Linked DNA regions of Notamacropus eugenii. Each later gene encodes a partner of the first gene's protein in a complex. Links are inferred from orthologs where the notes say so. Each region holds a gene or a part of one and is shown on either strand. Other genes may lie near its edges. The genes, in order: GRK1 and RCVRN.

Region 1 (7,525 bases):
TCCTCCCAAATCTTTTAATATCTTTATTTTAAGCCCTTTTTACTTTCTATTTAAATGTCTTTAAAATTTTGCTCTGTTCACCTTGGATTTGCAACTAGAAAGAGGAAATAATCTCTTGGGAGGAAAAAAAGAAAGCTTGGCATCAGAAAGGTTTGTATGTAAGCCTACAATGAGGAAAAAAAATGTAAATTTTACTTCATTTTTACCCATATCTAGTTAGCTTATTGATCTGGAAGAAGAAGGTATTATGGTAAGTATTGAGAGAGGGACTGGCTCTGGGATTTCACTGGCATGAGGAATTCCCATGAGAAGAAACTCTCTTTACCAATATAGGTCAGCATCTCCTCTGCAACTCCTAGTCTTAGAAAGTTGCTTAGATTCAGCACAGAGAGAGGTCAAGGGTCGTGCCCAGAATCACACAGACAACATGTGGAAGAGGCAGCCCTGGAATTCAAGTCTTCCTGGTTTAAAAGTCAGCTCCCTCTCCTTTATGTCAAACTACCTTTCTTGACCAGGTAAAAAGAATAATTATTACTTTTCTAAGATCCCATCATCAGAATTCTACAGCCTTTTCCTTGGAACTCATGTTTCCCTCGATTGATTTAATATTTTTGTCTTTAACCTCTTCAGTTCAGATCAATTGACCAGAGATATGGTCATACCAAGCACAATCACCACCTAGTTATGTGCTAATTCTTCTTTCTTCCTTCCTTCCTTCCTTTCTTTCTGTCTTACGGTTATAGACAGTCCCCACTCACCAAATAGTACTGGATTCTAGTACTGGATTCTATCTTTCTCCCTGTCATTGACTGTCCCCACTACACCATCTACTAGTGCACTATTTGTTTCTTTTTTTAGACCAGTCTCAGACGGTTCCTACTGCACTATTGAGTTGGATGTCATTTGTTGGTTTGTTTCTTTAAACAAGTCACAGACTGATCCTACTTACAAATTTCCTGCATTTGAAAAGTGCCTCAGTAATAGTACTAGTTGCCCTGAGCAACCTTTGGAGGAAAACAGAGCACCTCATTTGGTCAGATATGTGTCAAGGTCAATGGAAAGGCCAAAAAGATGTGTTTACAAGTCACTTTACAGAAATTAACAGGGACTCCTTCTCAAATGGAACATTGGCATAAGTGAAGGAGGAGTGGACCCCATGCAGCATGACCCCATCATGACATGGAACAACTGCAATTTTTAAAAGTTAGGATGAAATGTGCATTTCTTATAAGGTGAAGGTCAGTGTTGGTCTCTGGTGTCACTGAAATCCCTAAGAGGCAGATATGGTATAATAGATATAAAGCTGGACTCCTAGCCAGGAAAACCTGGGTTCAAGTCCTACCTGGGACATATACTGGTTTTGTGACTCCGGGCAAATTATTTAATCTTTCAATGCTCTGGGCAAATAAATTTTAAATTGCAGAAAAGGTGCCAATCTGTATTGTTAGAGGGAGTTTCCTCACCAGGAATTCCCTATTCTGATGAAATCACAGGTCCAGGTTTTATCCCTAGCCACTATGGAAAACTGTACCTCTCTTTTTAGAGCACAAAGTAAGTTATGATTGTGCTGAGTATATTTCCAAAACCCAGACTGAGGCACCTGGAAGAATAAGGCATTCCTCCAGCTATATTTCTAAGGTAGTAGTTTTAAAATGTATGTGTGTGTATATGTGTGTGTGTGTGTGTATATATATATATATATAAAATATACACATAAGTATATACATGTATGTGTATATGTGCATATATGTACATGTGTATACATATGTATACATATATATGTGCGTGTGTATATATATACATGTATATATACATATATAAAATAACTACTATACCGATATATCCTATGGGTTGGCCACAAACCAAAGTAATACCCAGATTACTTTTAAAACAATTGATATTAATTACAACAATAGAACTGGAAGAGGTGAACCATATCATCACTGGACTGGAAGGGGTGTTAAGAGGTCATTCAATCCATTCTCCTCCCTTAGTGATTTAGCTTTCAGTGTCATAAAACATCGAAACTCAAGTCCTATACCACCAGGTATGGGTATCCCATCTTAAAGATATAATGTATATTTTTTGGTCTGGACCTGTGATTTCATCTATGTAGGGAGCTCCCAGGTGGGGACTCCCTCTTCCAATGTAGAAGAGCAGCCACTCTATTATTCTGGGCACTAAGAGGTTAAATGGTTTGCCTACGATCACACTGCCAGTACATGTCAGAGTTGGAACTTGAATCCAGGTTGTCCAGATTCAAGGGCCAGCTTTCTATTCACTGTATCATGGTTGCTTCATTGACCAGAACGCTAGCCATGGACAGTTTGGCTACTACTCCAAGTCAAGATTGTCTATACCCAAAATGCAAGCCTCTACTCTGTATTAGAGCTATGTGAAGAGAGTGACTGAATTTCTACATCCCAGTGAATGTACTGCCATGCCCACTGCCCCACAACCTTGCCACCTCCCACTTCTGCCCCATCTTGGGAATCTCAAAGGCATTTACTTTGGACTTGCTGGGACCTATTTGCTGCTGCTTACTTGATACCCTTTTCTTTTCTTCAGCCTCTTCTTATTCAGTTTTTTACAGGCGTACATCTTGCCTGTGGCTTTCATCTGGCAACCTGACACCTCCCCAAAACCCCCTTTCCCCAGGACCCTGAAGTCCAAAAACCAGTCTTCCCCGATGGGCTGAGCTTCCAGCCACTTCCACTGCAGGAATCTCAAGAAATATAAGCTCTCCATGTACTCTTGGAAGGGAACCTCACTCAGGTAGTGCAGAGCTACTTCAAGAAGAGGTTGGAAGAGTCCATTGGGGATGCTTGAGTGTTTCTCCTTGACTTTCTCAACCATCCCTTCCTCCAGGAAACTGCAGAAAAGCTTGGCCTTAGGGTCCAGGTAGTCAGCAAGGATGCCCTGGGCTTTCTGAAGGCGAAAATCATCGTCAGCGGTGTCATAGTCTTCAATGTCCCTCCATAACTCGACTGCAGGGACATACCGTTCATCATTCTTTAGGAACTGTTGGAACAGGCGCTTGCCAATAGGTTGCTCAGAGCAAATGTTTTCAAATTCTAAGTTAAGAGTGTCCCGTAGGGATTCACATTTGGAGAGAGGAGGCAGTTTGAGCTTTGAAAGGTACTTCTTGTCCCGGGATAGATGCGAACTACCACTTGCATCGATACTGGCCCGGGCAGCTATGAAGGCAGAGTTGGCCACAACGGTCTCCAATGATCCAAAATCCATCCCTCAGGCTCTTCAGTCTCTGTGTTCACACATGAGAAGTCACGAGTTAAAGCTGAATTGTGAGAGGATCCTCAGAACTGATTTTTGGGGAATGACCCGTCCTTGGCCTGTGGCACCCTCCTGCCCTCCCAGGGGACAAGGGAGACGTCCTGTCCAGTGCAATGACCAAGGAAGAAGCAATGTAAAAAACAAACAGATCCCCAGGTTCCTAGGTAATGTGCAAGATCAGCACCTATGCTAATCCCTGGGATCCTTAGATATAGGTGGAGGTTGAATTAGATGTGATGAACCAGGGTCAGAAAAAGATAATTCTCCTGAGTCATCACCTTTGTAGCCTTCTTATCTGATTAGGCAGATAATTATTCTCATCTCCCTCTCTCTTTAAGATCATATTTATTTTGTTGCCTAGAAAATTTTGAATACTTTGGGTAACGTTCCTTGCAAGGCCACTTAAGATACAAAATACCCAGAAATCACCAATTTTTCCCTCTGATTCTGCATTCTACTTGGACAAACACAGTTGGACTCCCTACCTCGCTGTTCCGGTGTTGAAAAATATTAACATATTTGAAACTTGTTTAGTCAGACCCTTTGGAGGAGGGTGTTAAATAAACCTGGAAGATTAAATGCCTCCACGCAAGAAAATCCAATTAATGAGGTATTAACATAACTAATCAGAACCCCTGTCTAACTGGATTTTTATTTCTGCACTTTACTTTATGAGAAAGAAGAAAGTGAAAAGAAAAACCAGTGTCAAGAAGGTTTGAGAAGAAGAAAAAAAACATTTTAAATATACAATACCATTTCCTGGAAACATCCTGAATTTAAAAGCAAAGCATCATGCTCCAGCTTTTAGCACAGTGTTTGGCACAAAGTAGGCAATTTATGGATGTTTATTGATAATGGCAAGAGCCGCATTTGAGTTGTTGACTCCTCAGAATCAGGAGACCCATATCTAAATCCTGGCCTCATTGCTTAACCATGTGACCTTGGACAAGTCACTGAGGTACTCTGAGCCTCAGTTTTCTCACCCCATAGAATGAAGGAGTTGGATTAGAAGCTCACAGTCTCTTGCAGCAATAAATCTCTGATGTTACGATTTATAAAGTAGGGATATAAAATGGATGTTGTGAGGAAAGAATTTTGTACACGATTTTTTAAAATTGGAAATAGTGTTAGAGAGCCTATAGGAGACTAGGCACATGAAAATAGGATTAAGGTAGCTGTGAATTGGTAAAAAAACAAAAAAACAAAATCCCACACTTTTGTAAATTGGGAATTATCTGACAAAAGTCACTAAACTGTTCATACTGCTTAGCCCACAACCACTCCTCAGTATGTGCTCTAAGATCAAAAGAAATCCCTCATTTATACAAAATTATTCTTAAAAATATTAACATTGAAAGAACACATATGATGATAATAAAAATGATACTCTCACTGAAAGGAGTTAAACTCTGGTGATTGGCAATAAACAGTCCATCTTCTGGAAAACTGATAAGGAAACACATGTGTATTTCTCCCTTTTTAGTAAATATCACCAGTGTGGCAGTTTATCCACAGTGTGTTTGATAGGCAGATAGAAAACTCCTTCCAGAGGATATCAGTTTGGAGATGAGATCAGGGCTTTACAGATTATTTCAGAAATAGTCTGCAGAATACAGGAATGGGCTAGAGAATTAGAAAGAATAAAGAGGATCCAGGGTAGGGTTGGGAGATGATATGAATTTAAAAGTAGCAGGGTATGGCTATAAGTCAAATAATGGAGGTAAAATGCTTTGTTAACTAAGCACTATATTAATGTTAGATCATTGTTATCGAGGGGTGGATAATCTGCAGGACTGTTTGTGTCTCAAGCACCTTTCTAGTTCATATAGATTCAATCCCAGATGAGTCACAATTTTTTGAGGTGGAAAGAGTTCCTAACTGGAGACTTTCTGATTATGAAATCAAAGATGTTCTGTACATTCATGCATAATAAATATATAGGAGAGGTATAGTATAGTAAGAAAAAATGGAAAAAGCAAAGATTACTTATAGCTGAGGAAATCAGGAAGGTTTCATGGAAGAGATGACAAAAATTGACCTAGGACTTAAAAGAAAACAATTTAAACAGGTGGAGATAGCAGGGAGGCCATTTCATAATAACTCCTTACTGACTTGAATTTGACAAGGTTGCAGTGGATGGGGCCTGAAGTTAGAAAAACTCATCTTCTTGAGTTCAAATCTGGCCACAGATACTTACCAGCTGTGTGACCCTGGGCAAGTCACTTGACCCTGTTTGCCTCAGTTTCCTCACCTACAAAATGAGCTGGAGAAGGAAATGGTGAACCACTCCAGTATCTTTGCAAATGGGGTCATAAAGAGCCAAATGCTACTAGAAATGACTGAATAACAACTTGAATTTATATTTCTTTCTAACCTTCTCAAAAGTGAAAGAATGAAAATAAGCCTCGGTTATAGAATCTCACTCTGAAACCAGGTCTCCTGCAAAGTCCTTCTGGCTTAGGACATAGGATCATAGTCTGGGAGCTGGAAGGGAACTTAAGGGTCAAATTCAACCCCTTTTACAGATGGGGGAACTGAGACACAGGAGTTAAGGAACTTGCCCAGAAGCACACAGCTGGTAGGGGTTTGTGGCGTAGTTAGATCTTAGGTATTCCTGACTCCAAGTCCAATGCTCTATGCATTAGGCCACCCAGCTGACTTAGGATAAGAATACAAATTAAGAGAAGATATAATTCATCATCAAATAATGTCAAAGCTATCATTATGCATGAGTTGGCTAGCATAATAACATGAATAATATAAATACATTTAAGACAGCCTCCCCAACTCAGCTCAGGCACTTGTTTTAATCAGCACTAACCTTTAATCAGAACTCTTCGCCATAATTAGAGATGAAAGTTCCTTTGATTTCTTACGCTTCTCCACAAGAGGCTGATGAAGCGGTATGTTTGAGCAGAAAGGGTCACAGGACTTGGAGTCAAGGGAGTCCTAGGTTCAAATAAAGCCTCTGACGCTAGCCATGAGCAAAGACAAACCTCTCCGAGTCTCAGTCTTCTCATCTGTAAAATGGGGATGATGATGCCTGTAGCCTCTCCCTCACAGGGCCATTATCTGGAGCAGATGAGAAAATGCATGTAAAGTATTTTGCAGACTTTGAAGTATCATATAGATATTAGGTATTATTATTATTATTACAAGGTGCATAGGAAGTGTGGTATAAGGGAAAGACCACTGGAATCAGGCAATTTAATTTCTAGTCTTTGCTCTGCCATTTATTAACTGTCCTCTGAGCTTCCATTTTCTCATCTGTAAAATGGGGATAATAAAGTAGGCTCTTTCTAATTTAAAAGGTTGTGATGAAGATTAAATGTGTGATCAAACTAAAATCCACAAATGTTTTCCCACCTAAGAAGGACAGGCCTCTCCTTCCTTCTTTTTTCCTATAACAGAGATTTGCTGTTCAGTTGTTTTTCAGACATGTTTGACTCTTTGTGACCCCATTTAGGTTTTTCTTGGCAAAGATGCTGGAGTAGTTTGTCATTTCCTTCTCCAGCTCATTTTACAGAAGAGGAAACTGAGGCAAACAGAGGTAAATGAGTTGCCCAGGGGCACACTGCTAGTAAGTGCCTGAGGCCAGATTTGAACTCAGAAAAATGAATCTTCCTGACTTCAGGCCCAGTCTTCTATACACTGTACTGTGACAGAGATTAGTTTTCCCTAAAAAGAGACAAAAGAGGTTCTATGTTTCCCTTGCAAACTTAAGGGCATAAAAAGTCCCATATGTGTGCAGTCAGGGACCTCGAATTTGATAGATTTCCAAAAGCCACATGAGTCACTGTGTCCTTCACCACATACTGCCCTGTTGACCAATTTTCCTTTTGGAAGGGACAAACCCAGCACCACTGCCTCCTTGCCGCATATCCTGGCTACAACAGGGCAAAGCAAATCTCCTTTTGTTAATCGTTGGATGACTTGTAAATGCCACACTTCATCCCAACATTGAACCTGAATTAAGACGTTAGAGCCCCCTCCAACAAAATAAAATCATGTATTGGAAAATGATCTGTGAACTGGCCTAGAAATAATTCTAGGAGAAGAGTCAGGAAGACTTAAGTTTAAATCCCACCTCACATACCTAATAGCTGTGTGACACTGGGCAAGTCACTTAACCTCTCCATATTTCAGTTTCCTCGCCTGCAGAACAAAGGGATTTGTTGATCGTCTGACCTAAAGCAGAAGGAGTTTGTAAGCACTGACTATTGGAGAGGGC
Region 2 (8,532 bases), on another chromosome or scaffold:
AGTTTTTCCTCCACCTCTCTTACTTGATTTTCAAAATCCTTTTTTGACCTCTTCCATGGCCTGAGACCATTGTGTATTTATTTTGGAGGGTTTGGACGCAGAAGCCTTCAAACTTCCTCTGATATTATGCTTTGCTCTACCTCATCCGAAAGGATGGGAGAAAATACCTGTTCAGCAAGAAAGTAACTTTCTATAGTCTTATTTTTTCTCCCTTTTTGGGCATTTTCCCAGTTAGTTACTTGACTTTTGAGTCCTTTGTCAAGAGGAGAATATATTCTGGGTATCTGTGAGTTCCCAGTTCCTCCAAGGTGGCACAGTCAAGGGAGAGGAGTTTATTCCTCTCCTGGCCTGCACACTGGTATGGGAGCAACCAAAAACTTTTCTGCCCAGAATCTGCAATTGGAATTCCCTTACCACAACCACCTCCAGCTCCACCACCAGTTCTCCTCCTCACCCTGGAGTGTAGCTCAAGGCTGAAAATCAGATCAGTGACTCAATTTTCCCAGGGGCTCTAGGCGGAAGGTGCCAAAAATGACAGCTGCCACTGCAGTGCCTGCTGGCAGAGGTCCAGACCCTGCTCCTCTCTCCTGGGTGAAAGAGCCCTTGTACTGACCTTTGAAGCTGTCTGTGGTGTTTCTGGGTTCAGCAATCTGGGAACTACTCCCAGTGGCACCCTGAAGCCTGTTCTGAGTCCTGTCCCTGCTGTTCCAGCACCAGACTGGTCTGTGAGCCACACTCTAGGCTTAATTGCTTCTTCTTAAAAGGCCAGTGAACCCTATTAGCTCTGTCTGAGAACAGCCTTGGGATCTGAGGACGACCTGAGCTATACTTACATCCTCTATATTTTTTGCAGGCTGCCCAAAATCCTTGTGTGGGCAACAAGTATATATGACTCAGCTCTTCTCAGCAGCACAATGATCCAATCTTTTGTACTTATAAAGTATACATGAAGGAAAATGCTATCCACATCCAGATAAAGAACTGATGGACTCTGAATGCAGATTGAAGCATATATATTTTACAGCTGTGACTAATATGAAAATGTTTTACATGATAGCAAATGTATAACCTATATCAAATTGCCTACCATTTTAGGAAGAGAGGAATGGAGACAAGGAGAAAAATTTGGAACTCAAACTCTTGTAAAAATGAATGCTAAAAATTGTTTTGACATATGATTGGGGAAAAAATAAAATACCAAGGAAAAAATACTAAGAAAAATACTAAGAAAATATAAAAAAATACTAAGAAAAATACTAAAAAATACTAAGAAAAAAATATCAAGGTTGGGCCAAGTTTTGCTTTAAATTCTGTAATCCTGTGCCCCTTTTCCCTACTTCTCCCCAGGGCAAAGTTGTGGTCCTGGGGACAACTGGAAGTTTTCAAGAGGCAGAATTATTTTTTAGTTAAAGGTTAGATAGACTAGATGACCTCTGAAGTCCCTTCCAATGATCCAATCCTATGAGTATAGTTGCCACCAGATGGTGATTTATCCCAGTAAGAAGTTCGATAAATTAACAACAATCAAAATTAATTGAATACCTACTATGTGCAAGACTCTGTGCTAATAAGAGGACACAACACATATATAGGGAAAGTATAGCTGCAAGATTAATGGAAAGGTCAAGTGGTCTTCAGGATGCAGCCACCAAACAGGTGGCAATGTACTTTCTTTAGTATTATCTCTTTTGATGAAACCGTATTTATTTCTGATGTTGGATAATTTAATAATACCAAAGATTTTGGAGTAAAAAAAATCATTTTTGACTCTTTAGTAACTGTGGCTGCTGAAGAGGTAAGGCTACAGCACCTGTGGAGACAGATGTCTGGTAGGATCTCTACAAGGATTGCTCTCCTGGAGATAGTGGAATTCCCTAGGGAATGGCTTGGGGTCATTATTACCCCTTGATACTTGGCTACAAAGTAATTGATTGTTTTTATTGGGGTCTTGATAAATGTACAAGTCAAGGTAATAGACCCTATATTGGTCTGCCAAGCACACACCAACAGAGCCTTCCCTTTCTCCATTGTAATGATTTAGAGAATCACAAAGAGCTTCTTGGGCCCTAAGATTCAGACATACAAAGTCATATGGTGCCTATAAAGGTACTAGCTGAAGCCTTGGGATCATCTACCCCATCTGTCTGCACAGAGCTCCCAACTCAGCTCAGTGAATCAGCTTCTGACACTGCTGCAAAGGGCCTGAGCCTTTAATGGAACTGGAAGCAAATAGTGGCTTTGGGCTGTGGTTACACAAACCTGGGGGCAATTAACTATTTGATCCAGGTCCACAGGACTTTGGTAAGATAATGATTAAGATTGCAAGTCCCGTGGAAAATAATCTTCCCCATATTAGCATAGAGGCAAAATTCCGAATAAATAGTCCATTATCCCTGTGACTCACACACGCCTGCCAAATTGTCAATGAACAGGCATCTCCCTCCTCCTTCAGTCCCTGATGAATAGATTTTGTATTGTCACAGAATTTCTACAAGTGTTGAGTTTTACCTTTAACAGAAAATGGAAAAGATGTTAGACTTTGTGCTCCCTGTTCTTACAAGTTAAGATATTTTCAGTCTCCTCTACAATCTATTCTCCACATATCTACCAAAATGATGTTCGAAAGCACGGGTCTAATCCTCTGTGTCATTCCCCTGCTTGATAAACTGGTGGTTCCCTATTACTTCTAGGATTTAGTTCAAATTCCTCTGTTTGACACTTAAAGATTTTCACAACCTATCTTTCCATCCTTACACATTACTCTGCCTCACACCCTCTTGGATTCAGCCTAATGGCCTTCTTGCTGTTCTCCATAGGGCACTCAATTTCTCCAGTCCCTGACTTTGCACAGGCTTTCTCCCCTGACTTTAATGCACTCCCTACTGACCTCTGATTTTTTTTTTAGAATTCCTGGTTTTCTTCAAAGTTTAGCTTAAACTTCACTTATTGCAGAAGACTTTTCCTCATCTCCCCAAATGCTAGTGCTTTCACCGCCCACAAAAAAACACCTTGTATTTTGCATGTATATATCTGGTTTTTATATACAGCTTCCCCCACCCCTTTAGAAAATTAATTAACTCTTGAAAAACACTAGAGAGGAAACTTTTAAGAAAAGGTAATTACCACTCACTTCAATGGAACAATTTTTCCTGAGCCTCCAAATTAGCTCATTCAATATCCATTTATAATCAATGTCTATGTAATTGAATCTTTAAAAAAAGTCTTAATAGAATAGTGAAGACACTACCACCACCACCACCAAAGAAAAACAACAGTGCAAATGATATCACTCACCAAGAATGGTAATATCATGCAATGTGTGGAAGAACAAGAACAGGGCGGAAGATTTAGGTGAGTCACTTCAACACTTTTTTCATTTTAGGGGGCCTGATGCATGAAATTGCTAAGACTATAAAACGGTAAATCACCACTACTCTGGAGGAACTTAACACAGCAGACACCAGCTAGATAGTTTCAAAAGTGACTTCACAGTGACTTTTAGTGTGGAGCTAAATTTTTCTGGCAGTCAAAATGGAAATCAGTCCTCATAAAAGCAAAGAAAGCCTGGTTATCTAAAGCAGGGATATGAAATGAAAATCTTCCATATAAAGTCAGATTCTCACATCCCCAGTGGGTATATCTAAACATATGGCTGTATTTATATGTGCACATATTGTTTCTTCCCATAGAATCCTTCTGTGGGCAGCCATTATTTACCGTTTTATTTTTTGTCTTTACAATCCCAGCACATAGTAGATGTTTGATAATTTATTGATTTATTGACTGATAAGATTGATCAATAAGACTGTTACTGGGCATAGTAGGACAAACCATTAAAATACCTGCAACTAGGGAGGTTAAAACTGGTGGATCACTTAACCTTCGGAGCTCTGAGCTGGAATATAGCTCAAGCTAGCTGATAGAGTCTCATCACTAAGGCTGATTCCAACATGGTGAGCCTCCACAAGTGAGGCAGCCATCAGGTTGCCTGGAAGGAAGGGGAAGAACTGGCCAGGAATGAAGCAGGTTAAAGCTTTAGAGGGGATCAGCACTGGAGTCAGCCATGAGTGACCACTCTACTTCCAACGTGGACAGCATAAAGAGATCCACTCTCAAAAAAACAATCTAGACAAAATTGTAACCCTTGAGGGACCCCAGCCTGTACTTTGCCCTATTTTCTTCTTTTCTCACACCAGAGGTATTTTGAATTCTCATTCTATATCCTTTCTTGCCTCATCTCTGACCCTATCCCTCTGCTGGCTAAAAAGTGACTAATATCACATATTTTCATTTCACTGTAAAACCTCTTTTAGAGGCATTACATATTTCATCAAAGATGAAGAACTTTTTAAGAAGAATTTTGAGCAGCATTCAGCAAGGATGTGTATGTGGAAGGTGCTGCCAGAAGACCCACTGTAGAGCCCCAAATTAACTCTCTACTTCTGCCCACTGTGGGGCAGGAGAATCTGGGTCCTAGTTCTGACTTTGCCTTTCTAAGTGTGATCTTGGAAAAGTCTCTTCACCTCTTTGGCCCTCAATTTCCTAAAAATAAAATGAAGTGGATTGGACCAAGTGACCTCCAGCTCTGATCATACCTGATTTTAAGAATGGCCATGGAGCATAGCATGTGTGGGAAATTTATTTGCTCCATTAATGATGAATTTGTAGAGGGAGTTTATGGATATAAAAGAATCAGAGGTAAGTGTATATTGGGTCTTGAAGAGTCTAGAAAAGGAACAAGCAAGTGAAATGAAATGATATGAGCAGGGGACTATGAGAGTCCTTGAAAGAAATATAAAGGTTAGGTGAGATACACTTCATGCCCTCATGGACCCTCAAGGATAATATGGAGATGCCACCAGAATATCAAATGGTAAATGGAAAAGGGATGCATGTTTTCTAGATATTGACCAACAAAGGAAACTCATTTGGCAAAGCTTCGCTAAAAGCTCTTTTTCTTTTCTTAAAATAAGAATTAATCTTGATATTCTGAGCTCCTAAGATCATGATAGGAGGGAGAGGGCTCAGAGGACATCATTTCTAAGCCAGAAGAGTTCAGTACTTCCTATTAGTACATGGGGTAGAGAAGTGGCTAAAAGATTAGTAATGACCACAAATCCTTCTAATCCACCACAGGCTTTGTCTTAATTTGAAAACCCTGAACCTTGTGTCGAGTCAGCCTCAGTTCAGAGAGAGGAGGCTAGCTGCCACTTAGCATTTACTACTTGTCTGGTACCCAATCACCCTCACCCATGGGAAACAGCAGAAGTGGCTCCCTATCCAAAGATATCTTGGAGGAGCTGCAGCTAAATACCAAATACAAAGAGGAGGAACTATGTGCCTGGTACCAGTCCTTCCTGAAGGAGTGCCCCAGTGGCAAGATAACCAGACAGGAGTTTGAGAGCATCTACTCCAAATTTTTCCCAGATGCAGACCCGAAGGCCTATGCCCAGCATGTGTTCCGCAGCTTCGATGCAAACAACGATGGGACGTTGGACTTTAAGGAATATATCATTGCGCTCCACATGACCACAGCTGGCAAAACCCAACAGAAACTGGAGTGGGCGTTTTCCCTCTACGACATAGATGGCAATGGTACCATCAGCAAAAATGAAGTACTTGAGATCGTCATGGTATAGTTTATCCTCACTCCCATCATTGGTTGGCTGGGACCCAGTGGAGTCAATGACCTAGAATCACAGAACTTTTACCTTATGGAGCCAGAGCTGGAAGGGACCTTAGAGGTCATCCAGTCCCTCCTTTTACAGAGGAGGAATAAGGTTAGAGAGGAAAAGGGACTTGGCTGGAGCCAGTTAGTTGCAGAGCAGGAACTAAGAACTGAATTTCCTGATTTCCAGGCCAGTGTTTTCTCATTGCAACCATGTCCTTGATCAGGGATAGCTTAGGCAAGGTCTGGGTGGGTTTGTTTCATAGATATATGCTTTTTCTCTATGATCATCATGAATTGATTTAAATGTTATTCTTTATGCTTGTTTCCCAAACTAATTTGGCCTCAGAACTATTTTGAATTAGATATATTAAAGGAAGTCATGAATGTTAATCTAGGATACCAGAGGGTTTGAAATACTCCTGAGGATGAAGGGTAAAATCAAAGAAGAGAAAATTAAGCCTTCTTCCAGCACCCCAAGCTGCTGTTGCTCAGTTGTTTCAGTCATGTCCAACAATCTTAGTGATCCCATTTTGGGGGTTTTCTTGGCAAACATATGGGAGTGGTTGGTCATTTCCTTCTTCAGCTTGTTTTACAGATGAGAAAAGTGAGGCTTGCCCAGGGTTCCATAGCTAATTAAGTGTCTGAGGCCAGATTTGAACTCAGGAAGATGAATCTTCCTTACCTCAGGCCTGGCACTCTATCCACTGTGCTACCTAGCTTCCCAATCCTTGCTACCATAGATAATTTTGCCAAATATACTTTCATATTTAGTATTTTCGAGGGAAAAGTAATGCCAGGAGATAAACTTTCTCATTGACCTCTATTCACATAGCATGCAGAACACAGAAAGAGTGGCTTTTCTAATGTATTAAACACAATCATACTGTAGGTATTTTTCCTATGGTTTTTGAGAAAATATTCCTGATGCAATAGAAGAATTTTCTAGCATTTGGATATTTTTTCTTCAAAATTGCAAATATTACAAACTCAAATTATATAACACACAATGATATTTACATAGATACCATGTCTGAAATGTATAAAACAGCAAACACTAAGACAGGCAGCTCAGATTCTAGTCTCAGCTCTCCTACTTAAAAACCAGCAGTGTGACTTTGCTCCAGTCAATTGTAGGGAAGTGAGGATTGGAGAAGAGTTGAACTGATGACTTTCGGAAGTTCCTTTCAGCTCTGATGTCGTAGGTAGACATCAAAGATAGTCATTTATATCAATAGTGTTTGTAGACTTCTGTAGCATTTGTATTTCCCATTTTTTAGCTTCTTTGAAGTTTTGCACTTTGTCTTTTAATCTTTTCTTCCTTAGTTTCCTCTTCTATAAAATAAGAGGGCTGAACTAGATGGCCTTTGAGGTCCCTTTTAGGTCTAAACCTCTGCTCCTAGGATCTCCCCTCCCCTCTCTTTCCCCCTAGTGACTGGCCTTTTACAAAGATTTTTGCATTCTAATCCTATTCTTATTATGAAGGGAAATGTGGATTTGAGGGAGAGGGCAAGGACTGATTATTTTTTTTAAGTAAATAGTGTTTAATTTTTTCCAATTACATATAAAGACAGTTTTTCAGCATTCATTTTTCATAAGATTTTGAGTTCCAAATTTTTCTTTCCTTCTCCCTCCTCCCCCTTCTCCAAGAAGGCAAGCAATCTGATGTAGGTTACATATGTGCTAATTCTTTGTTTTAAGACTGCACACGCTTCTCTATACATTTCTTTACATTTTTTAAAGCATGAGCTAGAAAATCATCAATAAGCATAAATATTTCCGTAGACAAAGTCTATATACATTTTTCAATTGGATATTCATTTGCAAAATTCTTTTTACCATGCACACAGAATGCTCTTCCTGAGCATTCTCATGAATGGATCACTATAGGCTGCAATGGCTGTGATGGATTTGTATCATCCTTGAGGAAGCATAGAGAGGGTCACATTTTCATATTGACTGTGAGAAAGGGACCAAAGGTAGTCTGTGTTGATTATTTAGCCAGATAGCAGCAGCATCCTCTAGAGATGCCTGTGGGGGGTTAGTCTTATTAGGGTTAGAAGTTTCTTTGAGGGGATATGGGTGCTCCCTAGGGCAAGGGAAGAAAGGAGGTGGAAGGAGATAAGGAAGGGCTACGATGGTGGGTAGAAAGTGTGGAGTAACATTTTAAGTTATAGGATAATAGAAATTACTAATAATACACTAGCAAGAGCGTTGGCCAGAACTAGATATTGGAATACCTTTGTTCTGGTCTTACCTCTGACACTAACTCATTATGTAACTTTCGGAATGCAACTTGCATCCCCAATCTGGGCCTCAGTTTCCTGCTGTGGAAATAAAGATCCCTCTGCTCCCACTATCTATCATGCTATAGTTCTATGATTTTAAGATGGAGTTGGGACCAGAGGAAAACTGGGAAGTTATCCAAAATTCAAATCTCTTCTCTTGGAGAATCTCTGCTCATTTCATTTTGCAGGATCCCTACCTCTTCAAGTCAAATAGAGAAGGATATAGAGGACCTGGGTATTAAAGGCACCAAGACTTGTGCCTTTGTATTTCGCTCTGTCCCTTTTCTCCTCAGTTGTCCAATCAAAGCCATTCTGATTGTTCTTTATTTCCCACACAGGAAATACTAGGATACTTATTGGACCTAGGGGAAGACAAGTCAAATTCTTTCACTTTTTTGAGTTCAGGAGAGGATTTATCACTTTCACAATTTCTCTAGACATAGAGTTAGTATTGCTAAATTCATTGGCAGGCTGGGACGGAGGGTGGGGAGCAAAGGAAGCACTAGAATAGTGCTGGTATCCTATCCTTTTCTCCAAGCCAGGAAGGTTAACCAGTAGCTACCAAGGGCCAAAAGA

What was found.
Region 2: the proteins of GRK1 (region 1) and RCVRN are in contact, whole or in part, in an NMR structure (PDB 2I94), measured with the Bos taurus proteins. The link is inferred for Notamacropus eugenii from reciprocal best matches to the Homo sapiens genes GRK1 and RCVRN. Residues at the interface, in NP_776598.1 of Bos taurus: Phe3, Gly4, Leu6, Glu7, Val9, Val10, Ala11, Asn12, Ser13, Ala14, Phe15, Ile16; in NP_776590.1 of Bos taurus: Lys22, Trp31, Ser34, Phe35, Glu38, Cys39, Phe49, Ile52, Tyr53, Lys55, Phe56, Phe57, Tyr86, Leu90, Thr93, Ser94, Phe188, Glu189.

What each region holds. Positions count from the first base shown.
Region 1 is NC_092877.1:207,271,005-207,278,529, forward strand, and holds the start of GRK1 (rhodopsin kinase GRK1), read right to left. Parts: upstream 3,247-7,525; coding exon 2,545-3,246; intron 1-2,544. UniProt on the Homo sapiens protein: Retina-specific kinase involved in the signal turnoff via phosphorylation of rhodopsin (RHO), the G protein- coupled receptor that initiates the phototransduction cascade.
Region 2 is NC_092873.1:317,136,829-317,145,360, forward strand, and holds the start of RCVRN (recoverin), read left to right. Parts: upstream 1-5,252; coding exon 5,253-5,633; intron 5,634-8,532. UniProt on the Homo sapiens protein: Acts as a calcium sensor and regulates phototransduction of cone and rod photoreceptor cells. Modulates light sensitivity of cone photoreceptor in dark and dim conditions.